2 linked regions of the Lonchura striata genome follow. The protein of the gene in region 2 interacts with the protein of the main gene of each other region in a pairwise test. Links are inferred from orthologs where the notes say so. Each region holds a gene or a part of one and is shown on either strand. Other genes may lie near its edges.

Evidence for each region.
Region 1: the proteins of MAB21L3 (region 2) and AGGF1 interact in binary tests that used the Homo sapiens proteins (3 or more experiments, as listed by UniProt). The two-hybrid records come from large-scale screens. The link is inferred for Lonchura striata from reciprocal best matches to the Homo sapiens genes MAB21L3 and AGGF1.

What each region holds. Positions count from the first base shown.
Region 1 is NC_134642.1:13,289,682-13,304,606, forward strand, and holds the start of AGGF1 (angiogenic factor with G patch and FHA domains 1), read right to left. Parts: upstream 6,114-14,925; 5' UTR 6,082-6,113; coding exon 5,881-6,081; intron 4,932-5,880; coding exon 4,835-4,931; intron 4,379-4,834; coding exon 4,173-4,378; intron 3,464-4,172; coding exon 3,317-3,463; intron 1,711-3,316; coding exon 1,522-1,710; intron 1-1,521. UniProt on the Homo sapiens protein: Promotes angiogenesis and the proliferation of endothelial cells. Able to bind to endothelial cells and promote cell proliferation, suggesting that it may act in an autocrine fashion.
Region 2 is NC_134604.1:27,125,310-27,141,126, reverse strand, and holds the start of MAB21L3 (protein mab-21-like 3), read right to left. Parts: upstream 7,554-15,817; 5' UTR 7,501-7,553; coding exon 7,453-7,500; intron 3,245-7,452; coding exon 3,104-3,244; intron 1,030-3,103; coding exon 958-1,029; intron 1-957.

The sequences.
Region 1 (14,925 bases), on a different chromosome or scaffold from region 2:
CCACAGAACGAAATTTAACAGACATATTAATCAGTTTATGATAAAGACTTATTCCTATGCCTAAAATCCTCTTCACGATTCTTTCCTGACCCATGATGGATAAAGTTCTGTGTTGACCAATGCCTTTTGAGAGGGGCAGAATGCTAATTCAGCATTTGCACAGAGCAGGCCCAGAACCTGGCTGCTGGTAAAACTGCACTTCCACTGCATTAGCTCTCTTAGGTCTGAAGAATTATTATGCTTAGTGTTGCCAAGTACCCAGATCAAACTTTCCACATGGAAAGGCTTACTTGAAGTTTCCTCAAGGAGTAGAAATTCCTGCATTAGCCACAATTTAATTGTAAAATGTGTAATCAGTCAACAACGACTGTCCATTTAACCTAATTGCACCTTTTCTTAATGTAAACAGTTTCGATTTTCAAATCTTTCAGATGACACCACTCCTGATTAAATTTTTTAACTGTGCACTGATGTTATATGACTATTATGTACAGGTATCTGGACAGTAATGTAATTATTCCAGATTTTAACCAATCTGCATGTCTGAGGCCTACATAATGAAACTATGTAATGGTTAAAGCAAAAGCTCTGAAGGATGCAAACCAAGGAGAACTCAAATTAGAGAATTCAATATATTAAATTTTATCTTAAGATAATAAAACAAATAGAGAGAATAGAACTCAACATCAGTAAGAGTGTTCATAATGGAAATTCTTCCTGAGGTTTAACAGCTGTGTTAGTACTTCTTGGTGTTTAGGAGTCAGTAATGTTTTCCAAGACAGCACACGACAGGGTATGCTTTCTTAGCACTCAGGACAATTTTGACACATATTGATTACAATGGGCACTTATTCTGATGTACAGCTTATCCTCACACTAACGACAACGAAAATACAGTAAGAATGTATCAATAGGGGAGCATAATATGCAAAGAAATAAAATTTCAAAACCACCAATCCTAAATGATAGCAGGGACACAGTAAAAGGCGAAGGACTACACGCTGGAATGGAGTCACAGAGAAAGGACTGTGTATGAGTGTATTTTCAAAATTTACATTTTTTGGTTCATAATGCGAATCTGAAAAAAAAAATCCAACCAAACAAGAAACCAACACCAAATCACAAGCCAAAATCCCAAACCCAAGACATTGCCACTGAAATTCTGATGTAAATCCAGCCCACACAACACTGAATTTATTCTAGTGTGCCTGCTCTTCAAAAAACTTCACTGACACTCAGTTGTAGACTCCTCTAGAGCTGGGTAGTAATACAAAAAAATTGAAAAATTGAGAGTATACAAGTTAAAAGTTTCATCCTTAATCACTCAATGAGAAAGTTATTTGAACACTAACTACATGTTAGCAACTTTACACATGCTGTATCTAGTTTAAGTATGTTTAAATAGTTTACAAAATAAAGCATTCATTCTCTGCATAAAACCAAGCCCCACAACCTGTAAATTGCAGCATGGACAAAAACCCAACAGATTTTGTATTTTCTGTCCGTCAATTTTGAGGTTACCTTATACTCATCTGCAGCAATCCACTCTGCTTCTTTTCTCTTCTTTTTTCCCTTTTTATCCTTGGTGTGTTTAGTACCAGAGGCCTGGTAAGACTGCAGATCCACTCGTGAATGAAACTGGTATCGGCCGCTTTCCACATCACAGTAGTAATAAATTCCAGTTGCTGGGTCGTAATACAGTTGGTTTTCCTTTATAAGAAATGAAGAACAATGTTATCATCACTTCAATAAATATACTGTTCAAAGAAACACCTGATTAATAAAGAACCACATTTTAATTTTGATAAAATGAAAGAACTGTGGTGGCCCTGAGAAATGTAAACAAAAGTGAGTTGTGGGCAGCAAATTTGGGGTAAATTACTTCATTACCTGAAAACTGTAATTGGAAGATTAAACCCCAAAATGCAAATGGACCAAACTTATCTAAGTATAAAAACCTGTGATCTGTCGTCCATTTTTTGGATGTATCCCCTGGGGAGGCTTTGTCTGCCCTAAATATACCTGAAGGCCCTTCAATAAATATAACTAATTTTTATTACCTCAATTTTGTCTGGTCTCTGTTTTTAGGTAGCCAAAAAAGGCATCATAAGGAGCTACTTCTGTGTGGGATCCTCCATGGACTGTAGTATGAGTAGGTTCCACGTGGTCTGCTCTATGGATTCAGGAAATTGCCTGCTCTGGTGCTAGGAGAACCTCCTCCTGTTCTTCTTTGCCCCTGATGTTCACAGGGTTATTTTACACACTCACTCCCCCGTACAGACTCCACTGTGCAGAGTTATGCCCCTTCTTACACTGGTTTCAGATAAGCACCACCAGCTCTTCTAATGGCTGTGCTGTGCCCTGCAGTGGAACCAGCCATGTCCAGGCAGCCCTGGCCCTCTTCTCAGAGAGGCTTCCTCTGCAGCCCTGGCCTCATCATCAGAACTTTGCCAGCAAACACAATGCAAGAACATTTCCTGCGATTCAGAACACTTATGTACCAAGAAAAGTCTATAAACTGTAATCTATAGCCCCAAACATTTATGTATAACTATATGAACAGTGTCAAAACCAATGGTATCCTTTAAGATCTCAAAAAATAAGTCCAGAAGCATCCTGAGAAGAGTTGTGTACCTCATGCATTTTTTACAGTTGAGTTGAATATAACAGTGCAAACAAACTCTGTTCTCAGTGCAGTACAGTGTATACATATCTTTCCACAGATCTGTACACATATACAAACACACCTCATAGGACAAAAAGAAAACCTTTGTAAAAGCTACATGAAAATGCATAGCAAAAAGTAACTATTAAGAATTCTGACCCATCATCTAATCTTCTTCTAACACTTCTAAAAGAAGTGTTTTCTTTACCTGTAGAATCAAACTAGTTGCTAGCACTACTCAAATAAAAACACAAAACATTTTGCATATTTTCTCCCAATACCCTTTTCACTGTGGAGAAGCAACTGACTTACTTCAGAAAAATGTCTTTTTCTAAACAAGACATCTTTAAGCTCAAGCCTTTAGGTTTGAGAGAGTTACAGATCACCTTTCTAGCATAACATCTGTACAATGCCAAGTAACTTAGAGACCTATGAGACATCAAAATAACAGAATTAAAATCTAAATGTGTGTCCTAGCCTGCTATCTTTGCCTGAAATGATTAAAAAACTAATTAAACACTATTCATTTTCAGTAACCTGTTTTTCAAAACGCAAGATCAGCTTGGATCTTAGTTCTTTGCTCATCAGCTTTTACTAACAAAACTTTTGCAATAGACAAAAAATTCCAAGGGTTTTGGAAATGATCCTTACTGAATTGTAGTAGAATCCAGTGCTATGGTCGTAATACAATCCTGTATTTTCATCATATATAAATCCAGTCTGTGAAACAGCAGCCTCTGCAGCAGCTCTCAAACTCTCTGCCAGAGAACCTTCTGGTACTGAAGTTTCTTCTGTCTCCTGATAACAGAAGGTAAGGAACGTAAGTGGTCTATGAACTTGGACTGTTTCAGAAGGCAAAAATCTGGCTGTGGTTCACTAGTAAACTCCTACTGATTTCAACCGGACCAAGACTTCAGCCCATGTCTTTTGTTTTTCCCCAGCTTTACTCGAAAGTGACTCACATAAAATACACGCACAAGAAACATCTTTCAGAGCATTCCTAAGACAGATTTCTGCCCTCTGTTCTATTTCAGTTGCTAGATGCTAAAGCACAAACTCAGTTAACTGAGCGACCTAAGAGAAGGCTGGAGTGCAGGGAAGAAAACCAACCCACCACAAAATAAACAAACCCCACCACCAATGTTCTTTTCCTTGTATCTTGCTTCCTTATGTTAATGAAACAAAAAATAAGAAGCACGATTTGTGAAAATCAGAATGGATATATTGGACATACTCTGCTGATAAAAATAATCCTGCTTCCAGGCTATGCAGGATATATATGTCTTTTTACAAAAACTCTCAAATTCCAAGACACAAATCTAAGAGGGTGTTCCACTTGGAACACACTACAAAAAGAACTAATTTTGAAGTACAAGGGTATTAGCAGCACTAGACCATCAGAAAAAAATATTTCACAAAAAGCTCTCAGGACCACAAGTACATCTTTTAGATGGAATATTAAGAGTACTGATTTCAAAACTGGTGAAACTCCAAACAGTCCAAAAACCTGTGAATTCTGGATGAAATTTTCCTCTTCTCCACCTTCAATAGCTTTGGTGCTATCCTTCCTCAGCGGAATATTAACATCTGCATCCAATTCCTCTGTGGAATTATGCTCAGTGCCTTCACTCCCATGACTGTGCTGCACTGGTAGTTCAGATGCACAATCTTGAGTATCAGTGTGACTGTAATAATTTTCATAGTAGTAATAATCTGCCAGGGGAGAACGGGAAGAGAAAGAAAAGTTGAAGTTGCATAAATTAGGAAGGTATATTGCAATTTAAGGATACTAAATCTTAAACTGGAAGTTTATGCAAGTAAGTAGTCGAATGAAAATCAAATATTAAGTAGTGCCTCTACTCTGAATTTATTATCCTACTGAACAAATTATGTCTTTATGTTTTCATATACTTCACGACTTGGTACAGCTGTATGTTTGCAACATGAGATTACTATGGAACAAATTACAATGGAATGAATTCTGCTAGTCCATGCTACATTTAATCCTGAATTAATACCTGGAGTAAACAGGAAACGTCTGAAAGATAATGTCAGGTTACTGAATTTAATTCAGCAAAGGATGTAGACCTGAAATATATTCTATATTACAACATTTTCAAACTAAGATAGTGTTCTATATCCCTATTTAAACATCACCACTCTCTCTACCTGCTTGTGACCATGCAGCACAGTCCTCTGTCTGTACTTCTACACTAGACGTATCTTTCTCCTTTCTATTATGGATTTCTTCAGTGAGTTCTTCTACCTGAAAGGAAAAATTGAATGTTAAAAACACAATACTGCATTTTAGTGGTCTGCCATCTCAGAAAAGAGAATCAGCCTATTTTGCATTCCATAATTTAAACAAAACATAATGGCATCATAGATGTTTCAAGTGATTTGTTTGTCGGAAGATAATTTTGTACTTGAATGGTTGGCATAAAGAAACACATAATTTCTGCTCACAAAGGAGCAGAGAAACTTAATTGAGGTTATTCCTAAATGTCCACCCTGTAAAGTTGGATTTCAAGCAATGGTCGCTGTTCTGCAGTGACGACTGCAACATTTACAAAGCACAGAATATTCTGAACTAGAAAGAACCCATCAGGATCACCAAGTCCAATTCTTGGCCCTCCACAGCACACTTCAAGAGTCACACCATTTGCCTGAGAGCATCGTCCAAATGCTTCTTGAGGTCTGTCAGGCTGGTGCTGTGACCACTTCTCTGCGGAAACTTCCATTGCCCAAGTACTCCGTCTGGAGAACCTTTTCCTAATATCCAACCTGAAATGCCCCTGGCACAACCTGAGGCCGCTCCCTCGCGTTCTGCCAGCGGTCAGTGCTGCCCGCCTGCCTCCCCTCACAAGAAGCTGTGCCCCGCCATGAGGGCTCCCTAAACGCCTCTCTTGCCATAGGCACTCACGGAGAAGTTTCGCCACTCTTCCTTTACCCCACACTTCGTACGATAAACTTCTTTCCCTCTGCTACAGGTAATGTTCCCTTCAGAATGCAAATCTAACCCAGTGGTAGAGAAGGCGTTACCATCCTCACCACGATGCTCCGACTGGAAACCTCAATCCTCCTCTGGCCGCTCGCAGGCCAGGAGAGCCCGGCGGGCTCGGGGGGCTGAGGGGCCGTGCGGGACGGGAGGAGCGGACGGGCGGGGAGCGGCCCGGGCGGCACCCGGCCGGGGGGCGGAAGGCTCGGAGCCCTACCTGCCTCCTGAGCGCCTCGCCGCTCTCCCGCTCCCGGCGGAACAGGCGCTGCGTGCGCCGCAGCCGCCGCCGCGCCCGCTCCAGCTGCGCGCGGCACGCGCCCAGCTCTGCCCGCAACGCCGCCGCCTCCGCCTCCTCCTCCTGCTGCTGCTGCTGCTCGCCCGGGTCCGCCCGGCTCTCGGCGCCCGGCGGGGAGGCCATGGCCGGCGGCCCGCCCCCGCGCCGCAGCTCAGCGCCCGCCCTCCGCCCGCCCCGCAGCGCCCGCGCCCGACGGCCCCGGCCGTGGCGCCCGCCGGGCAACGCCGCAGCGCACCGAGAGCTGTCCCGCGCGGGCCTCCGTCCCGCGGGGCGAGCAGCCGGAAGCGGCGCGCGCGGCAGTGCGCGTGCGCGTGCGCGCGAGGAAAGGGCGGGGCCGGGAGCGGGGCCGGGAGCGGGGAACGGGGCCGGGAGCGGGGAACGGGGAGCGGGGCCGGGGAGCGGGGAGCGGGGAACGGGGAGCGGGGAGCGGGGAACGGGGCCGGGAGCGGGGAACGGGGAGCGGGGCCGGGGAGCGGGGAGCGGGGAACGGGGAGCGGGGAGCGGGGAACGGGGCCGGGGAACGGGGAACGGGGAGCGGGGAGCGGGGAGCGGGGCCGGGGAGCGGGGAGCGGGGAACGGGGCCGGGAGCGGGGAACGGGGCCGGGAGCGGGGAACGGGGCCGGGAGCGGGGAACGGGGCCGGGGAGCGGGGAACGGGGAGCGGGGCCGGGAGCGGGGAACGGGGAGCGGGGCCGGGAGCGGGGAGCGGGGCCGGGAGCGGGGAGCGGGGCCGGGAGCGGGGAACGGGGCCGGGGAGCGGGGAACGGGGCCGGGGAGCGGGGAACGGGGCCGGGAGCGGGGCCGGGAACGGGGAGCGGGGCCGGGAGCGGGGAACGGGGCCGGGGAGCGGGGAACGGGGCCGGGAGCGGGGCCGGGGAACGGGGCCGGGAACGGGAGCGGGGAACGGGGCCGGGGAACGGGGCCGGGAGCCGGAGCGAGGAACGGGGCCGGGCGTTGCTGCTGCCGCGACAGCGTAACTGTCGGGGCCGAGATGAGCATGAGCAGCACCCCGCGAAGGCGGGGCAATGCTCGGACCTTCCGCCGTCGTCTAACCTGGCTTGGCGGTGCCGCGCAGTTGGCTGCTGGCAGTGGGTCTCAGGCTTCCAGCTGCATCATACAACAGAATGGAAAGTAATTCTAGCGGGTACTTACATGCGCACATTTTTGTTTCGAGGATTTTGTGTGTGTGTGTGTTATTTTAGAGCGGGGAGGGGGATGCTGCTTGAGGTTTCTCGGTCAGCAGTGCGGCGAACCACGCCGGCTGGAATTGCCGCCTGGGGTTGTTGCAGCTGCAGCCATTGGGACAGATTCTAAAAGAAAATTAGAGTTAGTTAGAATCATTCAGAGTCACTGCGGGGACCTGCAGCGCTGCAGCCCTGGATAAACTTTTGTGCCTCAGATTTCTACAAAGCAGTTACAAAAGGTTCTCGGGCTTTCCCTCTGAGCCCCATCTCAATATCATAATTTTCCACACTTAACCTCGCAGGCTTTTTATTTAAAGTATGCTTTGTCTCCAATGACAACAGCGCCTCTCAGTTTTTAATAAATTGTGTGATACACTTTGTTGCTTTTGTGTCTTACTGCAGAAATGAGACGTATATCATATCATAGTAGGCTATTAGATCACAGCCTAATAGCTTTCAGATCTGACAATAGTGAGTGTGTTGTATACCTGAACATCTACATCTGCTTTCAGATATGTCCTGAATGATGCACCACTTTTACACTTCAGGTTTCACCTCCGTTCCTTAAGTAACGGCTTAATTTCATTTACAGGCATATGTTTTTAAGATACTATATTTCCAAAAAATATAGTCCAAAGACACCTGAATTTGAAAGCCATGGTACCTGGCAGTGCTATTTTAACAAGAATGCTACTGTTCTCTGTGAGGACTTGCAGTCATGTGCTGTGCATTAAGTACTGTTCTGACTGGAAACCACCACAATCAAATGACTGATCTCTAGAAGATGGGCTACATGAACAGACAAGAAGTAAATCTTCTGTCCATATCCTAACTCAAAGAAAATAGGGAAAAAATACATGTGTTTTGTCTTTAAAGCATTTTGTGGAAGGGTGTAAAGCTCAGCTGTGGACTGGAGGTCCTAAGATATACTAAAAGAACTAACACAGTTTCAGACCTCAGTTTTTCTCCTCTGTAATTTCTCATTGGAAATGTATGTCTCATCAGTTGAGAATTAGTGTATTGTCTCTATCAAGAAGTTTTATTTTAGGTAGTGGCTTTCTTTTGCATCAGGATAGTTTCACTTAATGTGTATAAGTAAGCAGACCTGAGCTGGAGGGAGATACTTCCTGAAATAGCAGATTTCATTCACTGCCCTGTGTTAAATTGCCTGAAGTTTAGGGAATGGCACTACCTTCTTTTTAAAAGACTGGCCTTTGATCTGTAAGTTAAATACTCAATTGTAGAAGTAATGGATGTTGCAGTTTAGGCAGTGAAAAGAAGATGAAGAGTGATGCCAGCTCTCCAAACAGTGCCTATTCCTAAAGGTTTGCAGCAGACAAAAATGGAGAGGGTGGAGGTGACATGCATCCCTGCCACCAGTCTGTCAGTGCCACTTTCCTACCCATGCTCTTAGGGGCCCTTGACATGGACTGAGGAACTGTTGTTGCCACCACCCCATCTGAACTCCTCCTTCATCCTCTGGGATTGAGTAGTTACATTTGGAAGTTTAGATGGCATCCCAATCCAGCTAGACAGGAAACAGATGCTTAGCTCTGGCACCTTGTGTATTAAAAGAAGGTGAGATTTTGGTCACAGGGGCATTTGCCATCAAAGCACAGAGGCCTGTGGAATGAAGATGAAGTGGTTGTAGGAAGCAGGGACAGAAAGGCTGCTGGAGCACAGACTGTCTGGCCAAGGGCATTATCTCCAGAAGAGCTTTTTTCACCAAAAAGCTGTCACGACCCCAGACCTGCATGCAAGAAGATGCCACAGTGCATGCTGCCTGCACAGGCAAAATTCAGGACCCCAACTCTGTCAGGGCCTGGAGGTGAAGGAAAGGTGAAGTCACAGAGCTCTGTTGCTGCCTGTTCTTTCCTTATACTGATGCTATGCAGGAACAACCAAGAGTTGCAGGAACATTGGCCAGCCTGGCTTGCATGGCTGGCTACAGGACTACTCTCTCTTTTTCCTGATTCCCCTACCCCAGTGGAGGATGTGGTCCTCATCTATTCCTTTTTGCAAGCTTCTCCTAAGGGGAGTGGAAAGAGGTGGGTGGACGAGTGCTTGAAAGTATTGTTGCTATCACATCTTCAAGGCATTGCCTCACCTCTGAGATGGTAAAGGGTTCTGTGAATATGATTACATGTGTTTTCTATTGCAAAAATGGCCTTAAACATAGTGATTACAAATTCCTTGAAATTTGTAAACTTGGTGCTCATAGTTCCATATTCTTGTCTTGTCTTCTCTTTCTCCATGTGGATGCCAGCCCCACTGCACTTCAGGTTTTGGGGTAAATCTCTGGCTGTTCTTTTCTGGTTCAAGGTTTCTTAGGAAGTGGTGATAAAAGGCTTGGCAGATACGTGTTTTTAGCCTTGCAATGACATGGAGATTCTGAAAAAGTTCTTCAAGTGATGGTAGCACACCTTGAGACATGAATTCTCACAGCAAAATCCTCAAAAATCTTCCTGGAACTTAATGGTTCTTTCATTAGCATACCACATTTGATGAAGCAATGACAAATACAAAGTTCAGTGCCCGAACATCCTATTTAAAGTAATAGTAGCACTACGGCACACATCACAACCTACACATATATCATAAAGAAAAATCAGCTACAGGGAAATGAAAGAGAAAACCAGTTGAATCAAGAAAATCTGTAGATCGAGCTGCAGATATTTTCAGCAGGGAACCCAGAGATCTTCTTCCCTGTCAGCACTCTCCTTTTCTTATGGATGCACATTAATTAAAAAAGAGATGCTTCCAAACTTGATCTAAGCTCTCTGGAGTGGTCCTAAGCTTTTTTTAAGGTGAGAACATTTTCTAGAGTGGCACTTCTCAGAGAACAAATTCTTTAGTACATCCACTGGAGTCACATGGTCTACCTCTTGCCATGGTGCTGCTTTAAAGAAGTCAGATTGCCTGTGAGTGGATTAAGGGCTCCTTTGCTGTGATGTGGAGTCAAAACTACGGGAGAGCAGAATGTGTTATGCCAGAGAACTTCATGGAGTTCCTCAGAGCTTGGGCTGATCACTGCCTTGGCTTTGCTCTTGTCTGTGGTACCAGCTGATTGCTGACCAGGGGTCCTAGTAGCATCTTCTCAGAGACATGAGGAGTATTTCTGCAGAAAAGCAGCCCAGAACATTATGTATCCAAACAGAAGACAACTGGTTAGTGACCTCTGTTCTGATAGGTACTGAGGATATGGCACAGGGGTTTTGTCAAGCAGGACCAGGATGTGCTTGTGAAAGGCTGCAGGTACCAGCAAAAAGTAATTTGAGCTGGAATTCATGCTATATAGACAGTTCCAGCCAGTGTTGACAGCTTGTTTTGCCATGCACAGAGATTTCAAATAGAATCAGTGAACTACTTGCTATAATCTACCTGTAGCAACTTTGAACCAGTTTTAAGACAACAGTATTAATAGGATTTAAAGTTTCTGCATGTGAGATTCCTTTTGTGCCTGCACCATGGGCGGCTGTCTCCCTGTACAGCATCTTAAGGCTTCTAAGTTTCCATAGACACCAACTGCATGTAGTAGACCTACCCATTGTGCTATTGCAAGGACAGGCTCCCCAGTTTGCAGCTGGGGATATTGCTTCTGTGTTGAGGTATTTGAAAGTGAGACATCATAGCACACAACTCTGCAGAGCTTGAGCTCTATGAACATATTTCCAATATTCCTAGAACTTCTGACCTTGAGACATTCAAGGGTAAGAATGTAAAGTGAACTCAGAAAATCCAAACAGGTCTAACCATGACTAGACAAGGACCAGTGGTCCTTGTCTAGTCGTGCTTCCCTGTAAAGCAGGGGTGTTAAAATAAATAGCTTTTACCACTAGGTGGCATTTAAGGATTGGGTTTGGTGTTTTTTGTGTTTTTGTTGGTGCATTGTTTCCTTTTTCCTCACTCTTTAATTTTTTTTTTTTAATTTAATGTTCTGAAATACAGTATTGAAAATTGCCTAACTAGGCCAAAGGGATTGCTAACCTAATTTTCTTCTTCCCTCCAGCTGCTGGAGACAGTCACTGAAATTGACTTGTGGCTATTCTTTGAGGTGATCTAAGGGCTGCCAGCAGAGTAAAAAGGAGCGAGATTTGCCTATTGCCTATAGGAATTGGTACCCTAAGACAGAGTGAATAATTTGCTTCTAAGGGACAGCTTCTTTCTACCCTTCTCCTTAGGAATGCCTGCTGCTGGGAGATAACTAGATCCTTAGTGCTGTAGGGTGAACAGATACCTTAGCACAGACACCTGAGCTGCTCCAAAGCCAGAATGTTCTTTTCTGAACTTGCTGTTAATGCAGAAGAGTAAATATGGATGTGCTGTTCTTGCTGTACAAGAGATAACACTGCATGCATTTTGTCATTACTCCCTGAGGAGCTTGTCTCAACCAGCACATGCACACTCAGAGCATGGGTAGCTCACCATCCGCCTACCAGTATGGACAGGTCACAAGAACAGCGTCAACCTAAACTCTTTGGCTTTGATGATAACTTGGCTTACACGTTTTATAAAGCCTATTAAATACACTTTTTTCAGTGGCATAAAGTTTCCAAATATCTGAAATATTTTCTTAGTGATTGTGAATAAACCCTGACAGCCTTGCTGAGTCGCAAAGGCAAAAATAGATTAATGCAGGAAAGATTCAAAGTGGTAAATGAAGCTTGTCTCTGAAGACAGCAGAGTTCAGTATCTGAGGCTTGGGCTGAAGATCCCAGAAAAAAAATCCAAAAAACATCTGATGCTAATGATGCCAAAATAGTTGTAGGTAACCCTCTTTGCAATGCTACATCCCCATTGCAGAAGGATCCCACTGGCACGACAGTGATGACAATCATGGTGGATTTGTTAGCTTGTCATGCAGGTGAGATCTGACTTTCCTGTGGGGTGTAGTGCTGTAGTGTCCAATGCCTGTTGTGCTCACGTCCAAGGAGACTTCCCACTGTGCTCTTTCCAAGTACTCCTGTGTAAACCTACTTCATCCGCTCCATCTACACTTCTGCACCAGCCCTGCTGACATATTTCTTGCTCTTCACCCTGGTCTCTGCCAAATCTTAGGCTAACAATGGCCAGGCAATGCCAAAGAAGTGTGTGGCTTGCCCTACACACTGCCTACAGGGCCCTTCTCTGCCCGTAGCATGCCCCAGAATTAAAGATGACAGTGCTTGTTACAGGAAGAGAAACAGTCACATAGGCCAATCAAAAGCAGATGGCTAAGACCAAGAAAACTGCCTGTGTGGGTTTTTTATCATGTGATAGCAGGGCAGACAGTGTGCCCATATCTCCATGGCCCATCACACAGTAAGAACATGTGAATTTTACACCTGTTTGATCAGCAATTGTTAAACTTTACCAATTACTACTAATAATACTACAATACTTATAGTATTAATTATTACATGTATTTTTGGAAGTCGCAGTATTCCGACTTCCTCTCATTGTGCTACAGTTGTTGCATAATTTTTAAGTTCTGGTTTTAGTAAAGAATCAAAAGGAACACAGAAAGACTGGATGATGTGCAGGTATGAATTTGGAACACTTAAATTGCTGACAATTAAAAAGCTCTCTTTACAGGAATTTTTCTTGCAAATGCAGAACTTTTCTAGTTCTAGTTACACAGTTTCCACTTGTGTAACTGTGGGGAATATGAAAAAAAAAAGTGAAAGAGATAGTTTTGTGAGGGGAAACAGGAAGCAAAGGAAGCAAACTCATCACTGGGTTAATTAAACTGTCAGGTTTCTTCAGCTAACTCATATTTAATGAGAAAGTCTATAGGTGTATTATCTGTTAAAATGTAGCTGGAGTAGTGATCCCTAAACTGCTGTAGTCATTTATAGCCATGGACAGATGCATTTAACTATTCATATTGCAATGCTATTATGTAGAGACTCTAATTAAGAACAAATCAGGTATGACATGTTTTAATACATATGCCATATGAATTACCTGACATTCTTCTGGAAGCCTGATGAGTTAAAATGATCTTAATAGCTTTATTATTGGAATTGGAGCCAAATGAAATTTAATCTCATTAAAACAACAAAAAAAGTCAATTTTTAATATTAATTATTAGATTATTAAATGAGAACAAAATGCAACTCAATGTCCAGACTAGCCACAGTTTTGGTATGAAGACAAATTTTTAATTTTTACATGTTTTTGGATTGACATAGGCAATACATCTGACTTTTATCTAGTATATAGGATTTTTTTCTGCAAAAAGTACCATCTTTTCTAGTCTATGATAAAGTAACATTTAGGATTGTGAAGTTTTTCACAAAGCTTTTTTCATTCTCAGCAGCCTCTTGAGTCTGATTCATTCCTCACATCCAGAACAGCTTCCATCCCTATGGAATGGAACAAAAGTTGTGTCAGATAAGCAATGTTCAACATTATATCCTGTTCCCAATTATACCCCTATTATTTTCCTGTGCTTTCTCCTTCTGGGGGCCCATTTGTCCTGAAAGAGAGCACTGAGGCTGTAATAGTTTCAGTTTGCCATGTGAAACAGGTCTTTCAATTGAAACTTTACAAAGGTATTTGTAAATATATTGTCAGAATTTGTATCTGTATTTAACTTGTACTTTCATGTCACACACACACACACACACATGAGAATAGAAGGGGGTTTAGAGCTTTTATTATGAAAAATACAGGGTTTTTTAGTCACTCAAATAGAGTGGTTTAAAGGGGCATACCTTATTCCCCCTACATAATCCTTGAAATTTTAAAATAATTTTCCTAATATATTCCATCATGTCCTAAACCATCAGGAATAGCATTTACTGCAATAAAAACACAGTGCATGACTAGGAACGTTGTGCTCTCAAAGGGACATGCTGTACTTTGGGTCAATAGCTGAGGTTCAACTCAATTCCAAAATCACCACTGACAAGCCAAAGTAGGGAGATGTAGATGTGCTTTAGAGGGTTCTCTCTGCATGATGGTGAAACTTGTGGTGTCTTTCTTTGCTTAGTTGGCTTCCCAAACATCAGTAAATCACAAAATCTGGTGTTTCTTCAGTACGAGCTCTGAAAAAGTTGTTTTCCTGCTGTGCATTAGAAAAGTGCAGCAAGTAAGCAGGAATGCATCTGTGTTTTGAAAACAGGAGGGTGAGCCATGAAAATTCCACCAAGACCATGGTCTCAAAGCACTCCTCAGTTTGTATGGGTTTTTCTTTTTCCCAGAAGCTATTACAATGGTTTCTTTCCATATGGAGATTCTTCTTAGAAATCATCTGGTTTGAAACCTTTAGATTTACCAGGCCCTTCTTTTTAAGTGGCACCTCGGGGCAAGTGTGTAAGGAGACATGTAGGAGAATGTTGTTCCTCAGGTGGCAATGGCTACTTTTCTCTCTTTGCCAGCACAAATACATTAAATTCCTTTGCTAGAATTTCTTTGAGTCTGACTAGCCTGTACTGTTTATTTGCCACTGTATTATTATTTTAAATGTCTGTTGATATTTGCATGTGCAAATACACAAATCGCCACAAAATTTCTGTCTAGATCTCCATCAGCTGCAGAGCATAACAGCTGCCTCTTGTTATTAATCACACAAAAAGGAACTATTTGGACTTCTCACTCCAGAGTGCCAGTTTGCCTGCTCAGTTTTTGAAGGGTATGAGACTGGCTACAAGTGAGACCAACAGAAAGCCAAATTTCTCACTGTTACTACAGATTTTGGTATCTGATCCAGATACTGAGTTAGTGATGACAAACCAACTGTGAAGTACTAGCAAAACTGAATGAAAGCCTAAATTATATATGAGGCTGCAAGCTTTTTT
Region 2 (15,817 bases):
TGCCTTGCTATGCTTACCTCCTGTCTCTCTGTCTCACAGGGAGCAGCTGGTCCTCTCTGCTCCCTGGCAAGAGATTTGGAAAACAAAAGATGGCTAGCCAGAAGCACAGAAATAGCAAAGAAAACACCAGGATGCTGCTCTTTTGTCAAATATGATCCATAAATGAGGATGCTGCTCTTTTGTTAAATATAAACCATAAAGGAAGATGCTGAAAGGATGACATTGCAGATCAAGCTGACCTGCACATGTCAGCTTTGGTGGGGCTGAGAAATCCTGTGGGCAGTTTAGAAACAGAGTAATAGGCTCCATAAGGAAAAAATACAATGGCTGTCATGCAGTTACTACTCCTCTCACTGCCTCAGCCACATTTTCAGGTAAACAACCATTTCCCCCCATACCAAAATGCTGTCTTGTATGCACTGGCACCCAATAAATTGCAAAGGGAAGAGCTGCACATGTTATGTGAGTGCCTACAAATGCAAGTCACAAGGGTCCTCCACCTGGGGCTTACCAGAAAACAACAGAATGCACAAGGCTGGGATTAGCACTGTAAAGCTGGGCAGTTGGTAACTTCTTGGCCTAAACAAATCCCAGTCCCACACCTATGCTGTCACAAGATGGTCTCACACACTGTGTGCAGGCCACAGGCAAGAGTCTCCAGTTCTGGGTGTGTAACTTGTGGCCAGTTCTGCTGTGTTAACATTCTGTCTAGAGTATGCTGGGCAAATTAAATATAACCTCATTCTTGTGAACCTGGCCAGGCTGTTCCAGGGAGACAGAAATATTAGGTTAGAAAGAAAATAATTACTCTTTGAGAGGGAAAAAAAAGCAAGTCTCTTGTTCAGAGGACAAATCGGTCATGGGAGGATCAGTGTGGTGGGTGAAGTTGTTTGGAGAAGAGGGTGTGTGAGGAGGAAGCAAGCACAGGGATTGTCAGGCACCAGGAAGGCTTTGTACCTGGATGGATGGGTGGAATGGGCGCTTCCTCCGAAGCATAGCTGACCACTTGGCCAGTAAAGCTGGCTGATCCTGAGAGAAGCAGAAAGGAAGACAAGTGGACAGAACAGAGAGAAAGCATCATTCATTCACAGCAAAGGTCATTCATTCACAGAGCAAAGCTGCAAGCTTCCCCGGATGCTTGGAGTTTGTTGAAGGAAAATCCCCCCCCATTTCCCCCACCTTGATTAAACACTTGGCAATGCCACTGGACAGTGCAGTACCAGTGATTAGTCTGCCCCTCTTCATTGTAACTTTACTGAATTTTCATCAGCCCTGCACAGTTGACAGCTCCAAAAATGGTGGGCCACAAAAAAACCCAAACAGTTAGAACTTTTAAAAATTAAATAATCTGTTTTGTTCATATGAATTTTAATTCAGGTTTTCAATAAAGCATAACTTTTTGTTACATGGATCACAGGAAAACACTGTATACCTGAAGACTTTTCTTAACTAGTCTCCACTCAGCCCTTCATATTTAGAAGGGAGCTTGAGGCTTCTCAATAAATTTAGATCTCTCACCATGTTAAATTGATTCCTTTTAGCCAGAAGCTGAAAGTTCTGAAAAATCCTGTAGAGTTAACTGACATAAAAAAATATGTTGCGAAATTGAACATGGAAAAATGAATAGATTGACTTTCCCTGGACACAAGTCTCCTCTATGTTAAAGTATGTCAGCAACAGTATTAAAGTTTTCAATCTTTCGAAGTAGACAGCCCAAACCAAATAATTTCTCATCAACCCATTCTTTCATGCCCCACACAAATAGGACAGTTAGTCAGTTCCTCCTAGTGTTACTTCCACAGATTTGTAACACTGGGTTCAGTTAAGCACGAACAACAGATCTGCCACTTTTAAGGAAATAGATTTTGAGGATTTCTTTCAAGCAGAATTTGTTCAGATCTGCATACTATAACATCAAGTTACTGCTCATAATAGATTGCCTTGGTGGTCTTGTTCTACTTTGCTTTCCGGAGCAACAATTTTACCCTGACCCTGGTCCTGTCAGACCTCATTAGCCAAGCAGGTTTGTTCCACACAAGAGGTGCCTGGCAGAGTCTGGCACTAAGGAACTCATGGACCAGGATGTGGCACTATCACTGTGGCCATACTTACTGACAAGACCACATGCTCTGGGATACAAGAAATCCAGAAAAGCTATGAATCTGAATGTCTTTGTCCCCAGGGTAATGGCCACATTTCAGACTGGGTGATTTTATTTTGCCTCCACCTCCATACCATTCCAGCAGCTTCATACAAAGACTTCTTCCCTTTCAGTCCCAGAGAGCTGCAAAAGTTGCCTCGTGCTTTTATGTATTTGCTGTGTTTTGATCTGTAAATGGCTGTGGTTCAGTATAATGCTTGACATTATTATTTCAACTAGTTCAGATGAAAAAATTGTTTTCATCTGAAGTTACCATTGCTGTGATTGTTTCTTGTGTCTTTACTAGTTACTTTTGTGTAATGGAGTCACAAGAAATAAGCAGCCTTCTTCTGTCACAGCTGGGAAGGACATTACTATTTTTACGTCTGAAGGTCTAAAGCAGGGAGGCATTTCAATTCTCCCACTAATAAGAATTATTTTTTTCCTAATGAAAAAGAAATTCCAATTCATGACAAAGAAAAAAACATATTTTTCAGAAGAAACTTTCTAATGTTCATAGCAGAAGAAGGACTTTTAATTCTTCTTTAATCCTTTTTAGTGAGTTGACAGCTTTTTTACCTGTGAAAAATATGGGTCATAGCTCATGAAGGCATGAGCATTTTTTCTTAAGTTACTGCTGCATAAGTTTTTCTTTCTGACTCCCAAAGAGTTTTGGCTTCTGTTTGTGGATTGACAGCTCTGGCAATAGATGCTGTTTGTAAACACAGCAGCTGCAAGAAGAGGCTCTGCTTGATTTATCCATCTCTCTTGGATGCTCCTCTGGCTGTGAGATGTCCATGAGTGAGTGCCAATGACCCAGTCAGTAGAACTCCACAGTGGTGTCAGCACATCGTCTGTGGTGTTTGGGTGAGGTACCTGCCATACAAACACTTACATAATGGAGAAATCACTTTCTGGTTGCCTACAGGCTGCCAGAGAGTGCATTAAGGTTTTTCTTCATACCTTGATGTTCTCATTGTGAATGCCAGAGTTGGAGATAGCCTGGAATCGCACGGCCTTGTAGCTGATTTCTGCAGTCAGCTGCTGGATGATTTTCTGCACCTCCTCCACTGCTTTGGAAACCAGGTAATGCCGCCGTTCCACCTGTCAGTTCCAGAAAAGACACTTCATGTTAGATGTAATTGCAGTCTTAGTCTCCAGTGGGAAGCACACAAATCAGCTTAAAGCATCCTGAAACATTTGCGCTTGTGCTGCACTGGGAATAAAAATTGTTCCCCAGTCTATTGCAATCAATTTACCATGAGACAGAGCTGAGAACACCAAAGGGTCAATATTCAAGACTATTGAGTATTAATTGATATTTCCATGCCAACACCATTGGATGGAAGGAAGGGAGTTCACTACACAGATAAATTTATTACCAACTAATTCTACAGTCTCAAGTCTTTATCCATTTGATGCAGAATACCAGTTACTCCCCTGCATATGGTAGCCATTCTCAAAGTCAGAATATGTTCCATTCCAAGAACTGACAGGACATCAAGACTTCGAGATTTGTCCATTAGTCAGGTGGCAGATGTATGTGGCATCAGTTAGATGCCTACCTTTTACACTGAAAGTATCCATATTTTCTTTATGGCTGAAGTACAGATGAAACTCTACTCCTAGACAGTGTGAAAGCATATTTCCAAAACTGGCCCCATTGGGAACTAGGTGTTTGTGTGGCTTGAAGGGTAGTTTTTCAATTCAAGAAGTAGTTGCATAATGAATTATTGAAAATTATTTCAGTGAAATGTCTGAGTCTTGGGACAACTGAGGTGATGAGTGGACAACTCAGAAAAATATAAGATGAACCTGAACCTCACTTATGACTAAAAGTTAAGGGAGCACAAGGGGACTGTCACAATCTGAACAAGGACATTCAACAAGAGGAACATGAAGGAACCATGTTAGTAAAGGACATTTAATATTTCCCAAATATCCTTACACATTTACCAAAGTGAGGAGATTCAGCTGTTAACAAAGTTCAAGAACATATTTGTCATTACTTATACAAGCAGAATTACTTATGGAGAGTGAAATATTAAGACTGTTTACTGTTCATTTTTGGATCCTATGCTTCATCTAATTTAGTTGCAGCTTTTGCTTTCTTCTTGATTCTTCTTTTTCCTCACCATATTCTACTAAATGTTATTGCTTGCAGGCAAGAAAAAAAATCAGAAACAGAGTTCATCACTCGGCTAAAGTGAATGATAAAGCATAATTGCCACAGTCAAATATAATTGCTACAATATTTTGTTATTATCAAAGACCAAAAGGAAGCAAAATCATAAGTTAAAAATTCTGTACTGTGAGGGTGGTGAAGCCCTGGCACAGGTTGCTCAGAGAAACTGTGGATACCCCATCCCTGGAAGTGTTCAAGGCAAGGCTGGACAGGGCTTTGAGCCCTTGTCCAGTGGAAGGTGTCACAGTCCACGGCAGGGAAACTGCACTATATGATCTTTAAAAGTGCCTTCCAACCCAAACCAGCCTATGGCTTTCTAAATTTCCTGTGTCCTGTTTACTCAGCATCTTCTTCAGCATCTAAACAACTCCCTAGTCTCTTTTACTATCAGCCAAAAACACACAAGTGTGTTGAAATGTGTCCCTAGGGCCTGGAAGAGGACAAATACATCCACTTCTTCATAAAAAGGGACCATTCAATGGACTAAAGTGGATTAGCGCCTGCCTCATATCCATTAGCCCATAAACAGCAATTGACTAACACTGAACTTGAACATGAGCAGAGTTTGAATTCCTTCCTCCCTCAGACAACAAAGTTAACAGTACTTCTACTAAGCCTGAATAGCTTTTGAAAGTGGGAAATATGTCAGGCAACAGCACCATATTCCCTTGACTGAGCTCTCATCCACCCTTGACATTCTGTTTCTTTACTATCTTAACACCATGTAGTCCTTCATGTTTATATAATGCCCTTTAATTTCCCTAGTAATTCACCCTCCTCCTCATTCCAATTCACCATTTTATTTAAGAGCAGTTTTAGCTACTTACATGTACTTAAAAAAAACCCAAAAAACACTGAAAGATTTTAGCCCATGTTCATTTTCACCTCCTCATCTCAGCTTTCATTTATGGCACTTCTCCATCTGTATCTATACTGTATCTATTTTCTCCACCTTATTTTTGTTCATCCAGAACAACTCCTTAGAATAGTCCAATAAGCTTGACAAGATACCTAATGGTTTCTCCAACAAGTGAATGGTGTGTGGCAGAGAAAGTTGTCCATGTCTAAGAGCTTTTATGCAAAAAAAGACTTTTTTAAAACTGAAAAGTATAAAAAGTATACACAGTGGGTCAGCTCAAACAGAGACTTAGAGTGCCCTCTTTATGCATTCCTCATGCTCTGCTCTCTCTAAGGGGCACCTGCTGGAAACATTTTTTGCCACTTCCAGTATCCAGGGAAAATCTATTCAACACAGCCTGGCCTCATTTAATTCTGCCTTCATCACCTACTGACTAGGCTACAGCAGTTGTCATGAATTCTTTATAATATACACTAAAAAAAAAAAAAAACCAGTTGAGGGAGTACCACTAAACACCTCTTTCCATGTGTTCTCCCCATCACTGGAGCAGGGATAAAAAACAATGGGCATGTGACTGACAGAGGGTGCTCACTATAATTAACTAACTATAATTAGCTCCCTAATCATCCTGTTGGAAAATATAACCTTCCTACAGAAGGGAGGGTAAAAAAATCAGAAAACAGAAGGTGAGTCTGAAGAGCCAAGGCATTTATCTCAGATACTTCTAGTACCAGCACAGACACATTGGAAGAAAGACACTGTATGGTATTTGCTGGACAGTCACTTCTGTGACTCGCTGGCATTCCCCTTACTAGGTCTTAACTCAGGGAATTGTGCTAAAATAAATGCACAAAACTTGAATAACAAGGTCAATTATGATTTTATTAAGGGGGAAGGAAGCAGGACTGAGATTTATTAGAAACTGTTTCCCTTATTTACCCAGCCTCATCCATACCATACACATTCAAATTTTTCCTTTGATGAGCAGCTTAAGGATGAAATCTCTGGTATTATAGAGATTCATTGCACCAGGTGGTTGACCTATTTCCAAAAACAGGCAGCATTTGACAAGCTGAACTGCCTGAAGTTGGACAAGAGGCTCAGGAGCAGGCAGAAACTAAGAATCCATCAGAGCTGGAGGGCTGCTAGAAAACAGACTTCTAGTATAATCTAAAATATTGGCAACTATGAGTCTCACTTAACTAGAGCCTGCTTCTGTTCCTTGTACTTATGGCTGTCATATGAGCATTTTCCTGTGCATGGCTTCCCTCTGTTCCCTCCTTTGTAGCTCTGCTTTTTAAATCTTCAGAGAAGTGTTCTCTGTTATAGCTCACTGAACAGATTCTTATGGAATTATTTTCCTGTGCACAACACTGCATGCCTGAAGAAGGTATATTTCTGGGAGAACTTTCCTACTTGCCACCAAAACATTTCCACAGAGAAAACAAACCTTTCTTACCAGCCCCTTCATTGTACTAGAATATGTGATCCTTTACAGAAGATAAAGCCTTACACTTTCTCATTTTGAAATTATTTGTCACTTTGGTATCTTGCATTTTGTTGGGGAAAGCAGACAATAAAACAGGATCTAGCTAAGTACTGCCATGAAACATGTCAGCTTTAAAAAATGTTATGGCTCACTTAGAACTTTTATTAAACAGTATTGTTTCACAGAAGATTTTATTCTGTTTTATTTCATTTCATAATGGGGGAAAAATTGAGTGCTGGAATATCTTATAAAATAGAAAATGAGATTCCAGTCTGCATATGCTAATGAGACATGTTATTTTAATCATGGTATATAGAGAAGTATCCTAAGTTGAGGTGACAGACTGATGACTGAATTCTAACAATATTGGTCTGCCTCTGCAGTTCCTACATGAATCTTTTTTAGAGGCAACACCTGGCTGGTGTTGGTCTTGTTTTGGTCAAGCCAAGACCACCAGACAGGGAGAGAGGCAAGGACATTTCCTTAGATTTAAATGCTGTCAATTACAGCTAGTCTCACATCTGGAATTCCAGATTAGGAACAAAAATTCAGGACACCTAGAAGAAGAGGACAAACACCTTGAAAAATTAGGCTACCAGCAGATAAGATTCTACAACAGAAACCTAGAAATCTCATTAGAAATACAGTTCTCATGAAACTTCACCCAATCTTGTCTCAGAAATGAAGACAGCAGGCGAGCAACTAAGTGTCAAATTTGGCACCCTTCAGAATCAACACCTAGTGTGGGAGACAGAAAATCTGGTCAGATAAAGTCTTACCTTGCTCTGGATGTAGATTTCTACATCTTCATCTGTGAACGGCTTCATGGCAAGATGGTCTTCGCTGCTCTTTAAAGTGTGAATTCACTCTTCACTTGTTCACCTGCCTCTGGAAGTAGAGGAACACTCAGAGAGAGCTGCTCAGAGCCTTCTTGCCCTGTGAAGCTCAGTTCACCTAACAACTCTGTGCTGTGGGTGAGTAAGAGAAGAGAGAAGCAAGGAAGCATGCCTATTTTTAATAATTTTCTTTTTCTGCTCTGAGCTACAATGGTGACTTCCAGCTCATTCAGAAAACTAGCTCCAAATATTATTCTCTACCTTCAATTGTTATTATTAATCTTATTACTTTTAAATGGTGGATCTTGCATGCAGGCATACACAAAAAAATCCCAGCAACTGCTCTGTCTCAGGGCAGATCTGGAAGTGCTTTTCAGATTGCAGTGCAGCTTCAGTACATACATGCACAGCATTATTAATCTGCATGCCACTAGTACGCCCCTGCCTCACTACACCCTTTCTTAAATGCTCTCAACAAGTTATTCCTTGTTGACTAATCCATTCTCTTTCCATCTGAAAACATATGGGTATTTTTACACTCATATCATTCACTGGGGTTGCAGTCTGCAACCCCTGCTCCCCTCTTCTCCCCTCTCCTTATATCTCCCCTCTCTCTCTGGCTGTATTGACAGTAAATATTGTGCAGCTTGTCCCCTCCTGTAGCCTGCTTCTCTTTCTTTACAGTAAACAGACAGAAAGCTGCCTCTCGTTTTCTGCCAGCAGCTCAGCTAACAACCCCATATGGATGATTCAGAGGCAAAAACAATTGATCAGGCCTCATTGATCCAATGAAGCTTGGTGGCTTTTAGAAAGAAGGGTACATCAGCACATAGAAGGGAGAGACAGAGTATAGACATGAGACCCCATGCTGCTAAGCATTTCTTCCTTATTAAGGAAGGCACACTCCACTTTTGGGTAAGATTTACTGCCTCTGCAGCAGCTGGCAAAAGGCAGCACATGGGTGGGCACTGGGTGCTACCTCAGGAGAGGTACTGTTGTTGCTAGTTATCCTTCATTACGTCCTTCATTACGTCAAATATGAAATACATTAATTTAAGTAATTAATTGGAGCACAAATACCTGCAAGACATCTGCTTCCCTAGCACCTACAAAGCAAACCTTTCTCTGACAGACAGCTGCCACTGTCTTCTTACTGACTTGAAGATTCCTTCACAAAGATGTGTAGGTATTTACTTCCCAAACCAGCTTCCACTAGAGTTGGGCACTGAAAAAGATTTTCTCGATTCCCCAATGTCTAGGGACTCATACCATATTTTTGCTCACTTCAGGATTCACTGGCTCTCTTTCCTCTGAGGGGACAGCAGTTTATGTGAGCTCTGCTAGGAAAGCCAGATAAAAGGCAGGGTCTGAAAGAAGGCAAGTGAAATAACAGGTTGGAACAGAATTTGTAGGGATTGGTTGAATGGGATTATATCCAAGCAGAATGTACAAGAGAGCATTAAAAGCATGCCCCTAAAACATTAAGTCCCTGGTGCTCCCTCAGTCAGTCAGCTGCACATATAGCAGACAACTTCCTTAACACTCTTGACACCACCCGACATTACTTTAATACTCAGACCCTCAGACATGTATTATGAAGCAAGGAGAGATTAAGGGTCTCTCTTTCTTGCACCTGTAAGGTCTCTCCTCGTGACAGCTGTCCAGAGACATAGTGCTGGCAGAGAGATGAAGTGGTTTTGGTCATTTGTCTTTTATATAATAACACACCTTATGTTCATAATCCTTAATATTATAATCCATCCATTATTTCCATCTTGTAAGTAGCACATATTATGCTACTAATCGGCTACAGTAAATACTACAACTGATAAAGACCTTTACACCACCAGCAAAATACAGATTAGAGTGGTATCAAAGGCAGCAGACAGTCTTGACCTCACAAGAACTTGTGTTTGTCACATGAGGAGCAGATAGCACAGAATGCAGCAGAAAAGTAGAGGCAGAGGCCATGTGTGAAGAGGGAATGTTACTGTGAGAAAAGCCTGCATCAGAAGGAAAGAGTAAAGAGAAAGGACAGAGCAGAAATCAGAACATCTGCATAGATAAAAGAGGATGCAGACACAAAGTGGGAAGAATCCAGTCTTCTCCAGTGAGGTCTACTGAGCTGATGCAGTGATACTGCAGAGAAACCTCCATCAGATGGGTCCTTCTCAGGCACCTTCTGCTTGTATAAAGTAAGATAAAGGTGGAGAAAATTGGAAATGGATCCAAGCTCCAACAGTTGATAAATACAATCTCATAAGAAAATATTTCCCCTGAGCCTACAACAACTTAACTCCCCAGGCACACCAGCAAGAGGGAGTGAAAAATGGCTATTCCTTTTTCCTCGCTCTTCAAGGAGCACAGAAGGAAAGAAAGAGGTCATCAAGAGGATGAAGCCAGGTTCTTCTCAGTGGTTTCAAGCATCAGGACAAGAGACAATGGGAAGAAACAGATGCACAGGAAGTTCCACCTGAATATGAGAAAGAACTTCTTAAATGTGAGGCTGATCAAGCACTGGAACAGGTTGCCCAGAGAGTTTGTGGAATCTCCCTCACTGGAAATATTCCAGAACTGTATGCAGTTGTCTGTATGCAATCCTGTGCCATGTGCTCTGGGATGACCCTGCTTGAGCAGAGAGGTGGGACCAGATGACCCATTCTTTTGTGAAAAAGCTCACAACAGCTTCATGGAGATAAAAACCACTCTGCTAAAGCCAGGCAACCATGTGAAGACAAAACCACTCTTCAGTTCTAGTTAGCTCACAATCCATCAGATATCATGGACATGAGCACTACTGAGAGCTTTTGAGCTTGATTAAATTGGCAAATTAAACTCCTAAGTATACTTGTTTCTAAGGAGATTCCCATCCACACTGAGAATGGCTATCTTTTTGACACCTCTGAATCCTCTTTCTTTTCTAGTGATTGTTAGAAGTGCCTTAGGCCCTCACTAGGGTCTGGGCATATTTTTGAGAGACAAGTTTCTCCAGACAGTTCTTGCTGAAGCCCTGCAACCTTCCTTCCCTCTTTGATGGTGTCTCTGATGAGGTTTTTAGCATCACATATCTAATTAGCCAACCACAGACACCCAAATTCTGCTTGATGAGCATCCATTGATTTATACAGTTTCTCTCAAGCATTTTCAAGCCACACTTCAAATACTTTGGTCTTCTCAAATCACAGTTCCCTGTCTGCTGATCTGCATAAGATCATATGAAATGACTCAGCTATATTACATCACCCCATTTGTATTATTTCAGTTCCCATTTTATAGTACCTTATAATGAAGTTCAGATTGTGGATAATTTCCTTTGTACCTGCATCTTCATTTACATAGCAGTACTCTGAAGAGGATTTAGAAATTTCCTAGTATCTGCAAAAACACTGAATCTGTGGTATATAATTTTCATTCATGCTGTTGGCAATATGCAGGACTGAATATGATTTTGGATCTGTGAAATGCTTGTGAAAGTATTCTGTGAATATATGCCTTGAATGGTATTAGATTGGCTCTTGTATGTTGTGAAGATGCCAATTACTGATGCTTTCTATGCTTGCTTGGCTTTCCTTTCTTCACTCTTCAGTTTCACAGATATGACAAAGACATTTCAAACCTACAATCAAAAGTAATATGAACTGTGAATTGCACAACAATAAAGAAATCACCAACATCTTGTAAATAAGAGCAGCAGTCTTAACTGCACAGGGTTGTCCAATATTGTGTCTTTTTCTGTTGGGCAACTATTTAGAAAAACTATTCATACGGAACAGTGAGCATGTATTAAAAAGCCTCTGCTAAATCACACAAATGAGTCAGACCAATGTACCACTTGTGACTCACAGATGATCTGCAGTGGCAACAAATAAGCCCTGTTGAAAATGCTGCCTTCCAGATGAAATACAACCCTGAATTTCTAGTTGCTAATGATGACCCATCTCTTCTTGCTCTAATTACCAGAGGCATTAAGTCTGTTGCATTAGCTGAACCATGTACTTGGGTCAAGACAGACCACTAAACCAAATGATCCCAACAGATTTAATAATCTCTGACAGTTCTCTTGCCTTCTTAAACTGTTGTCCCATTTCTCCCCATTAGTGGATTAAGTGACTGTGCAAAATGAGTAATTGTAGCTTGAATCCCCTATAACATCCATGCTGTGACAGTCGTTAGTACTGTTCAGCCTCCATTCAGAGGATAGCAGCATAACATAATCAGGCTTTTTGGGGGCAAAAGTTCTGGGAATTTATTTGGGTTTTTTCCACTTTGTCTTTAAACAAGTTGATATGAGCAAAGGGGATACGTCAATGACAAAAGCATGGGATGGACTAGAGGGAAAAGAAAGTCCTGCTAATTCACTGTGACAGCACCAGAATCACATATGGGTGCCAAATTGAAATGCTTCTCCACTCATTCCCTCCCATTACCAATCAATACTTGTCAGGCTCAAAAATGCTCCGAATGCTTCTGCTGCTTGTTCTCATTGCCACACATTCTCACATTAGCCTTGGACCTGCACTTCATATCATGCAAGTTAAAGGTTTACATCCTTTCCAAACTAAGCACAGGATTGGATCAGGTCCAGTCATTTATAAAACCTGATATCTTTTTTCCATTTGTGGTCATACCAGACACGTCAGAAAAACACAGTAGAAATGAGTTCTCTTAATCTGGGAAGAGATTTGAAACCCCAAATTATTTACAACCTGAATGTTTTCAGGCTGCAGTGTAGTATTTCCAAAGAGAGTGATCACCAACTGAGCATGTGGGAAATTCTGAAAAATGCTGAGATTCTAATGCTGCTACCCACTACTGATCAGCCTCAACTAGGAAATTCATCAGAATCCAGTCCATTTTGCAGCTGCTATTAAGCATCAAGCCACTGGGCAGCAAATATAAATCACACAGCAGTGCTTCTAATATTGCCAACATCGCTGGGACACAGTGTGGTGATGTGTTCAGGGTCTGGAAATTTCCAAGTTTAAAATGGTTAGCTCAGAAGACGGCAGGAGAGGCAGGAAGCTGGGAGTCTGGCTGCATCAGCTCTGAGGCTTCCAGGAGAGTGTACTGAGATGTGGGACAGGAAAACTGGCAATTTGAGTTCTGAATCCTTGTACTATCCTCTGAAAGTTCACTGAAAGAATGTAATTTCAATGCATCATAATTTAAACATAAAATATTCCACTAGACCATTTCTAAGGATAATTTTCCTCTATGTTTTATCCATCACTAAACTACAACTACTGTTTTACTGTTTCAATCAGGATGTCCCACCATCTTGAAAACCTACCTGCAGCCAACATCCACAAAAATGACAGCCTTCCAGCATCTTTATTATATGCCTAGGTAAATAGCTTGCATGCTGAAAAGGAAATACTTGATACCACTGATTTAAACACATGATTAGAAAAACAGCATCTGGAAGAAACATGTTTGGCAGAGCACAGTGCAACTGGGAAAACTTTTAGCACTGGAAGTCTTTTCAGGTGAGAAAAAGCTGCCTCACTTTTGATGTCAGCACAGGTTTGCTGCTTATTTTCAGGTGTCAAAAAAAGCATTTTAAATTTAGGGGCACAGTAACTTGGGACAGAGAAACCAAGTCCAAGATTTAAAAGAGCCAAACCAAGAAGCATGCTTGCAATGATGCTCTGTCAACAAGAGGGGCTGAATGAGACTCGATTCACTGCATTTCCAGGAGCTGGTATTTTTTTCGTGACTGCTCTCAGAGCACAATGTTAGTTTGTATTATTTTTACACTTTGCTGCTGTGTCCAAATTTACCCGATTCAGAACTTATTGCTTCAGTCCACAGCAGTTTGAAGTACATTGAGTAAATTACCAGTGCTAAGTGAGAACAGTCACTCCAACACAAACTCACTTGGGAGAAAGAAGACTCAGACTGGCAACCCTGTTTATGTGCTTCATTCAGTCACTGACTAATAAAAAATGTACAAGAGTTCAGTGGAGCCAGAGCTAGAAACTAGGTCTCATATATCATAGGCCAATGACAGGTACACACCCCTAAGATCTATTGCCTTTTCTTTATCAAAATACAATTACTGCAGAGCAAACAGGCCTGCTTGAGCAAGGAAACTGAGAAGGGCCTCCAGGCCCAAAAAAGCCTGGCCCTCAGGAGCTATTTTAGAGTGCTGGAATAAATACTTGTGTGGAAAGAGAGCGAGATTTAAAAAAAAAAGCTAAACTAAACAAAGAAAACCTCATAAAAACCCCAACAATAATGAAGCAAAAAAACCCATCCCCTCCCACCCAAAACAAACAAAACCCACAAAAAGCCCCCAACAGAGTGAGGACAGCTGATAATCACATTCTGTCAGAACCACATGAAAAGCAGATGTGTTTCTGTATGATCTTGGTTAGCAGCAGTGCCAATCCACTATCAAAGCTGTCTGATCAAACTCCACAGCTTGCCACCCTACTACACACAAAGGTCAAAGATCCCAGACTTCCCAGGTGATCCTTAGGATATGTCAACTTGGACACGGTGTTGTGTCCCAGGGCTAACGTGGCACTGTGGAGAGGATGGAAAGAAGAAGTTGAAGAAGCAGTAGGGATTAAAGGAAGATTTTGCCAATATACCTGTAGAAGTGTCTCAAGAAAAACACAGGGGAAGGCCCAGACAGCTACATGCTTTGTATGGGAAGAAAGCAGGGGAGGAGAGTCACTGGGACTCTGCAATGCATGGGCCCAGAGGGAAACAATTGCCATGTGGGAACAATTACTGTACAATGAGAGCACCAGCAGAAGTGAGAAATAATTTGGTTTTTATCAGAAGTATGATATATGTACCACAAAGCAGACCAAGATAATCAGCCAACTAGTGAGAACAAGCCTTGTCAGAATCTCTACAGAGGCTTCAGTCAAGTCTTTTCAGAGTTTCTAGACAGATCACATAATGACCTGAATAGCTACACACTCCAGCTTCAGTCACTGGAAGATGAGCTAACAGCCTCCAGCCCAAGCTATGTCTGGCTAATACATATGGATTCTTTTAGTCCATAACTTCTGAAAATTTGTCATCTGAAAAGCAGGTAGCAGGAGAAATAAAGAGAGAAAGCAATTTCATTCTCAAGCAAACATTTCCTCCTTTATCTCAGACCCATAAAACTATACAGCATCAAGCTAATTCCCATAATCAGCTGCCCAGCCCTTTCCCCTTTATTGGCTGTTTTGTGCAACCAAAACCAAACTGCCAAAGGGAGAGGGTCAATCGTTTGTGCTGTATCTGCTCCAGGCGGTGACAGGCCACGGGACAGATATCCAGGGCTAGAACTAGTTAAATGCAGATTAAGGGCACTGAAAACCAGAGTGGGGGAGGAGAAACAATCATGGAATAAAACCACAGGGAATATGCAGAGCAAGTTGCTTGGCCAGGCTCCTGCATGAAGGAGCAAGCCATCTCTCTGCTCCTTGGGTTTTCATGGAGGGAGGGAAACGAGCAGATGTGCTTCAAATGGAAAATGAGGTGAATAATGCTACCAGCCACCTGGTACGAGAGAAACAGTTTGGTGCAGGAGGGAAGAACAGCATTCACAGGAGGACAGGGTTACTCAGTTTCTGCTACCCAGGGACTCCATGAACTGCTCTCTAACAAAGCAAGGGTTGGCAGAGGAAACAGTGAAACGGCAGCTTAGAACAGAGCACTGATCCCTATTCCCCTACAGTCACTTTTTCCAGATTCTGACAATATTTTCTTTGCCACTGGACAGGGGACAGGAAATGCAGTCAAGCTATTTATCACCTCATTGCCAGGTAATGAAGACAAATGCTCAAATTTTGCCATTCCCTGACGAAATGTTTTGGCAGGAGCACTGAGGACAGGGACTATGGCCTTGTGCATTTGCATCCACTTTAAGAAGGGGTGTTTAAGGGACAACTGGAGCTTATGGGAACTCCCCCAGTACATGTTAGTAACACCACCACAGACATTTCACTATGCTAAACCCCCCAAAGTGTTTCCAGTCTTTCAACATCAATCAGCACAACTGAAGCCAGTAGTAAATTGATTCTCACATTCCACTGGTGCCAGTTTTTGTTAGAAATGATTTGTGATAGATATGGTGGAATATATTGATTAGTACTGACAGTCCCAGTTTCCCAGGCGCTTTGTAGCACTGCCTTTCCAAAATGACCTGCTTTCCACCTTGTCAATTTTCTTCTGCAGAGTCCATTAGAAATATCTATTCTATTCTGAGAGCTTCTTGTCCCTCCAGAAAACAAAACAAAACAGTCAGGCAAGTAAAAAAAAATCAGTACAATAAAATAGGTTTGCAGTGTTGCAAAAGAACTTG